Linked DNA regions of Caenorhabditis elegans. The protein of the gene in region 2 purifies or fractionates together with the protein of the main gene of each other region. This does not show direct contact. Each region holds a gene or a part of one and is shown on either strand. Other genes may lie near its edges.

Region 1 (3,382 bases), on a different chromosome or scaffold from region 2:
ATTATCTGCAAATGAAAAATTTAGAAAATGCTGCTCTAAAAATACGGTGCCCGGTCTCGACACGACAAATGTTGGCTAACTGCGAAGAGGTGTGCGCCTTTAAAAATTACTGTAACTTCAAAATTTTGTTTCTGCAGAATTTTCTTGATTTTTCATACAGTGCATTTTTTTCCAACTTCTACGACTAAAAAAAACGCGCATCCCATTGATTTGTTGAGCGCGTGGCGAGACCAATGACGGGATCATTTTGTATAAATGCGCGCGCCTTTAAAGTCGTAGAAGTGGAAAAAAAATGCACTGTAGTTTTCGTTATTATTTATTTTAATCTAAAAATTGAAAAATCGATTAAAAAAATTCTACAGTACTCATTAAAGGCGCACACTTGATTGTATATAACAAAAATTGTCGCGTCGAGACCTGGAACCCCATTAAATTGGTAAATTTGGATAATCAGAATATCAGCCAAGATCGCTGTAAGTTTATTCTAGTTTTTGGCGTGCCTACAAGGCATCATGTCCGCCGTGTAGGCGCGTAGGCAGGCCTAGATTCCAGGCAGTTCAAATTCGATTTCATAAACTATTCATATTTCACAGAAAAATGAACTGCGGTTTATCCAAAAAAAAGAAACCAGTGGGAATGAAAAGGATCACAATAAATAAATACTAGTATTTAGAATTACATAAATATTTAACTAGAAAAACAAAAAGAATATAATTTAAGCTTAATCCAACTCCTTGAGCACATTCTCCACATGTTTCCGAGTATCTTCTGGCCCTTCAACAGTATGTCCGACAGTCCGTTCGTCGGCAAAAATCTCATGATCGTTTCCGCCAGGCGCGGTTTTATCTCCGAAAAAGTGAATTGTATCGAAATCTGGCACTAAATATTGCAAACAAAAGGTCTTATCCCATCCAGTAGGGAATACATCAACACTAATTTGTCCTCCGATTGCAAACTGGAGCCCGTATTGCCCGAACTTCTCGCGGAGCTGCTCGGTGAACTTTTGGCGAATTCCGTGCTTCTTATCAAACTCCACAAATTGCATTCGTTCCTCTTGTGAGCAACTCCGTCCAATAGGCGACAAATTGATCATCCCGTTTCGGAATTCGACGAAATTTCCACGTTTCACAGGAAGTTGAATGTCAGACATGTAGCGGAGAGCAAAATTGATGAGCTCTTGGAGCTTCGCATCGCCGATGGCTTTCTGGATTGATTGTACTGGATACGGTTCGGTGCCCTTGAATCCGTAGAGCCCGTTCTCCGAGAATGTGTAGTCGAACAGGGAGAGCACTGGAAAAAATGAGGAAATTAGGATTTGTAATTCAAAAAAAAAAATTAGCAAAGACATACACAAATCCTTATCGTGATCTGCCAGCTGCTCTGTGATCTTCTTAAAGTCCGATCCTCCGACGATTGCCAGCGGGACACGCTTGCGAGCCTCGATCAGGAATTCTCGCATTTCAGGCGTAATAGTCTGAAAATGTTGGGGTTTTTTAAATTTAGATGTAGAAGCAAAATTTTGCCCCCCAAAAACGGCGCCTGGTCTCGACACGACATACTCTTCAAAGGCGCATTGTCGTGTCGAGACCCAGGTACCGTATCGCAAAAATCTCGCAGACTAACCTGACGAGCAGCAGTGAGTGTTCCATCGACGTCGAACACCAAAATTGTTCGGCTACTCGCTGGAGAAGTCATCTGAAAAATTTTTTTGGTGTTTTTTTTTAAATTTTTTAAGGATTTTTTTTGGAATAAAAGTTTTTTGTTGAAAAATTCGGAAAATGGAAAATAATACATTTAATGTCAATTTTCTTCGAGAGAGAGACCAAAATGTATAAAGAGAGATGAGTGAATAGTTGAGGATCAAAATGAAGAACACCGATAGAGAGAAATTGGGTGAAACAAAAAATAGAACAAAAAAAGGTTTTTGGAAAACTAGAAGAAAATAAATAAAATAATAATATAAAGAAGGGTAAGTTCAATTTGTTTTTTGTTCAAAAGATAAAAATCATAAAAATTTTGAAGAACAACGAATGAAAAAGCCAGTGCTTCGTGTAATATACGCAACGTGTCGTTAGAGTGTCTGCGTCTCTTCACTCTCTCTCTCTCCGCCATATTTCAGGACGACACCTATTCAAACAGAAAAAAATGTTGTTCAGATTTGGAAAAAAGATACGAAATTCCACGGAAATGAAAGAATATGATAGTTTTGAGGAAAAAACTAAAAAAAATAGGGAAATTTTAATTATTCTGCGTCTCCTCCTCCTTCTGTACAGCCAGATTTGCTAGAAATTCGGCGGTATCTTCCATTTCATCATCGTTTTTTGATGATGATGATGATGATGATGATGTTGAGCTGATTGGTGTCGTTGCTCCGTGAGCCGAGGCGGATGATGACGTGGATTGGGACTTGTTGAATAGGGACATTTGCTCGGAATCAATAATATCTGTAAAATTTCATTTTTAGATTTAAAAATCTGTGAAATTTTGAGGATTTTCTCATTCAGACACGGGATATGTGTCGATTTACGGAGCTCGTGTACTCCTCGAGCAGAAGCGGTTTTCCCTGGAAAAACCAGATTTTGAATTTTTTTTGCTGATTAATAACATATTTAACGGTGAAATCGCCAATTTTTTAATTTTTTTCAGTTGCTTTTAACAGCAAATTCGGCTTTTTGACCGTTAAATACAAAAAAAATTAGAGAAATTGGTCCAAATTCAAGCTTTTCGACAAAAACTGTAAAATTCTCAAACTTCTCCTCGGGGAGTACACAATTCCCGTAAATCGACACGGGGCAGTTTGTGCGAAAAATGCAGTGCCTGGTCTCGACGCGACAAATTTTCGCTAACTGCAAAAATCTGTGCGCCTTTAAAGATTACTGGAACTTTAAATTTTAGTTGCAGCGGAATTTCCAGTGATTTTTATAGTTTTCCGATAAAAAAGTTAAAAAAAAACCAAAATTTGAAATTACAGTAATCTTCAAAGGCGCACACATTTTTGCACCCAACAAAAAATTGTCGTGTCGAGACCGGCCACCGTAATTTTGGCGCGAAAATCGCAAAATTTCGCAGAAAAAATGAGCATTTTTCCGTACTCGGCTGTTTGTGCATCATAATCGACAGAGCATTCGTTGTCCATTCGGCGTGAGCATTCAATTTGTGCATCTCGTGGCACAGCTCATACATTTTCTGAAACAGACAAGCTTGTTCCAGCTCAATAGTTCCTCTCAACGATGGTATCCATTTGTGATGCTTGTGACACGCGTCCTTCTTCGTTCGACAGCCTTCCTCACCGAATGGGCTGAAAATTGATTGATTTGCAATTTTATTTGCTGAATGGCCGAGGTTTTTCTCGGCCACGGTCGAAGATCTGACAAGATTCAGC
Region 2 (3,756 bases):
TTATATGTTGCAATTAAAATCAAATTTTCTGAATTTTTACATAAGATTCGAGCTTTTTCAAAAAAAAACTAGTAAGCTCAAACTCAGAAAAATGTTCTGAAAATTAGTATTGCACTCCCTAATAGTCTTGCACTCCCTATTAGTATTGCAAGCGGGAAGACCATCGAAAAATAGTTTTGCAGCCATATTAATAGAAGAAATACGGTATTTAAAAATCGATGGACGGCGAGTTTTGGGTTAAAAAAATTAAAAATCTCGCCATCCATCGATTTTTAAATACCTAAATGAAGTTTAAAACGCAAAATAATCAATTTGTAGACTTAAAATTTGATGGTGATTTCGAAAAAAAATAGTTTCCAGCCGCTTGACAAGTCGGTCAAATTTCCGATTTTAACTAATTTTAGGCCATTTTTTGAGCCGTCATAACTTTTTTTGAGAAGTTTTCAACCAGTTTCATTACGAAATTCGGTGTTTTCAGACAATTTTGAGTCTAAAAGGCAATAAAAAAATTCGACTACACCACCTCTAATGTGTATTTTATGGTCTAAACCTCAATTTTTGCATTAAAAATTCGCTAGAAACTACCTTAATCAACTGCAAAAGTACAGTTTCATCAGTTCCTTGACCTAAAAACGGTGCACAAATCGCTTCGACAATTCGATCAATTAACTTTCGTTCCGGATTTGAAATATCAGCGCCACGACCCGTCAAATGTCCGTAGGCGATCAATTTCTGTAGGCAATCCAACGCGGTTATCACGATTTTCGGGCTTTTCGAGTTGCACGCGAGCTCGAATGGCAGGAAATATCGATCGGCTTCGACGGCGGTGCCACCCGCATCTGGTAGGTGTTCTCCGTTTGAGCTTGGTGAGGCATCTTGCTCTTCCGCGGCTTTTAGTTCTTCTGCAAAGTATTTTTAAATCAAAAAATATTATTTTTTGCTAAATTTCAGTGATTTTAAATTGTTAAAACAATAAAATTCTTTTTAAAAAATTTGAAATTTCATGAAAAATTGTGTTGGGTGAGGCTACAGAAACTTTGTAGTTTGTAGTGTAAGCCTCAACCACAATTCGAGATGGGTGAGGCTGTGGCTACAAACTACACTATTCTTAGCCTCAACCATTGTGATTTTCCGAATTTCCTCGCTTTTTTAAATTTTAATTTCAGATTTTTCGACAGAAACCGATCGAAAAATTCCCCTTTTTTGGTTTTTTGGGGACTTTATTCAAAAATTGTGAAAATTTCTCGAAAAAACGTAGAATTCATTGGTTGAGGCTGAAAAATTTTGTAGTTTGTAGTCTGTGAGCCTCACCAAAAATTTGGTTGAGGCCACGCGACTACAAACTACAAAGTTTTTCAGCCTCAACCAATTTTCTAGGTTTTTTTTCACAGTTCAATCGTTTTTTGACAAGTTTAGCTGAAAATTAGTATTTTCAAGAGAAAAAAAAACAAATTTTCTTTGAAATTAAGAGTTTAGAATGTGGTTGAGGCTGGCGAAATCGTGTAGTTTGTAGTGTGAGCCTCAATCAACGACAAAATGGGATTTTTATATGAATTTACACCTTTTTTCCAGAATTTTTAAGATATTAAGCTGAGAAATAAGCTTTTAACTGAGAAAATCTTGAAAAAATGGATTGTAATCCCAAAAAAGCCAAAACGTGGGGTTTTTTGCAATTGGTTGAGGCTGGTGAGATGTAGTTTGTAGTGTGAGCCTCAACCAATGTTTTTAGACATTTTAATGGGATTTTTACATGTATTTACAGCTTTTTTCACTGAATTTCAAGAAATTAAGCTTAGAAATAAACTAAAAAACTGTGAAAATTCATCAATTTCTCAACCAAACACCCACCAAGAGCACTTTCACACGCTTTTTTGAGCTGCAAGTTCTCTTTTCGCTTGATATCCCGATCAGCGAGTATCTTTTCGATTCCACTTCTCAGAAACATATTGCCAATCGATTTCTTCGGACCGTTTGACAATTCGCTCATGTTTGCGCTGATTAATCACGGTTCATTCTGGAAAATAAATGCATTTTTTTGCAATAAAAAGTATGCCACGTTGTGTTAGTTTCTACATGATTAAATAATTAAATTAAAAAAGAAACGAGTTGGGGGGTAAGAGGAGTGTGTTCCAGTTGCTCGTCAAATTCGGTGTATGCACGTCAGCACGGTGTTTGCGTACTCTTTCGTAATAGCTTTATAGCTTTACACAACCTCTAGGTCCTCTTTACTTAATATATACGAGTTATATTTAATTTCACAATATTCTAAAACCACTGAAATTTACACGTGGAAAATACAGATATAGAAACGTGGAATTTAGCTTTATTCCGGTTGAATGTGTGTGTAGACGAAGAGAAAACAATGATAAAATCAACAAAAAATGAACGCAGAAACGAGTAAAAGTGGAAATGGAAGTGGGTAGAAGAAGAAGAGAAAATAGAAGAAGATCATTTAGATGAGAAGCACGGCGTTGATGCATCCGTCGTTCTCTGGATTGTTCGTCACCTGTGCGAATTTCCCCCAAACGACCTGAAAAATTGGAAAAATTAATTTTTTTTAAATGAGTGAGGCTAAAGAAAAAGTGTAGTTTGTAGTCTTAACCTCAACCAAACCATGCATTACATTGGTTGAGGCGGAAGAAAAATTGTAGTTTGTAGTGAGAGCCTCAACCAAACATTCATTTTTGGTGTTCAGAAGCCACGTGGCTCTTACTTTCAGGTAGAAATTCAAAATTTCGAGCTCGTTTGGTCGGTTAGTATCATGCAACGCGCCGAAAAATTCTTGGTTGAGGCTCACAAATTGTGTAGTTTGTAGTATTGAGCCTCAACCAACTCAAAAATAATATTTTTGCTTGGTTTTTATGCCGAAAAAAGTCTAATTGTTTGTAAAAACTTAATTTTTCAGGAGAAAAAACCAATAAATTTCGAATTTCGAGAGTTTTTCATTCTGCCAAGTGGAATTTCCAGAAAAACTACCGCCACGGGGCAATTTTACAGTGTTAATTCGCAATTTTCAGGATTAAAACTCAAATTTCGAAAGCTTCTACAGAAAAAATCTCGTAAAAATTGAATTTTATCGTGCGCAGTAGAAGAAAAATGGAAAAATCTACGCGAAAAATTCTGTGAGGCTAAAGAAAAAGTGTAGTTTGTAGTCTCAGCCTCAACCAAACCGTGCGTTGGTTGAGGCTAGTGAGAGCCTCAACCAAATATTCATTTTTGGTGTTCAGAAGCCACGTGGCTCTTGCTTTCAGGGAGAAATTCAAATTTTCGAGCGCTTTTGGTCGGTTAGTATCATGCCACGCGCCGAAAAATCCTTGGTTGAGGCTCACAAATTGTGTAGTTTGTAGTGTTGAGCCTCAACCAAAACCCTCTGTAGCCACGTGGCTCTCATTTTCAATGAGAAATTCCAAATTTTCGGCTCTAAAACGTGTATTTTTACCTTTCCTCCTTGAGTAACCATTCCCAATTCGGATACATTAACTTCAAGGATGGTTCCCTTTGTAATAACACCCAAAGATGTGTACATTTGACTCGACGGATTCTTCTTAACACCAACAATTGGCAAATGGAATGTCGTCTGAAGTTCTGGATGTGTGACGTGTGCCTTCTTGAAACGAAGTCCCATCGGACGAATGAATCGTTCGAATTTCGCGGGTTTTCGGGTGAATGACTCGCCGACGAATGTGACTTTTGTCACCATTCTCTTCCATCCTTTACGATTCGTTTTTCCGGTTTTCACGACTTTAAACGCTTCAG

The links. The genes of interacting proteins can lie anywhere in the genome.
Region 1: the proteins of agef-1 (region 2) and F52B11.2 fractionate together in Caenorhabditis elegans (co-fractionation; one large-scale study listed by BioGRID). This does not show direct contact.

The regions. Positions count from the first base shown.
Region 1 is NC_003282.8:14,081,881-14,085,262, reverse strand, and holds F52B11.2 (putative phosphomannomutase), read right to left. Parts: upstream 1,696-3,382; coding exon 1,624-1,695; intron 1,475-1,623; coding exon 1,351-1,474; intron 1,291-1,350; coding exon 722-1,290; 3' UTR 568-721; downstream 1-567. Other genes in the region: cfp-1 (CXXC-type zinc finger protein 1), read right to left, coding at 2,239-2,444, 3,093-3,298. UniProt on the Caenorhabditis elegans protein: Involved in the synthesis of the GDP-mannose and dolichol-phosphate-mannose required for a number of critical mannosyl transfer reactions.
Region 2 is NC_003279.8:13,624,212-13,627,967, forward strand, and holds the start of agef-1 (SEC7 domain-containing protein), read right to left. Parts: upstream 2,015-3,756; 5' UTR 1,988-2,014; coding exon 1,849-1,987; intron 903-1,848; coding exon 586-902; intron 1-585. Other genes in the region: W09C5.1 (Ribosome biogenesis protein NSA2 homolog), read right to left, coding at 2,453-2,530, 3,440-3,756.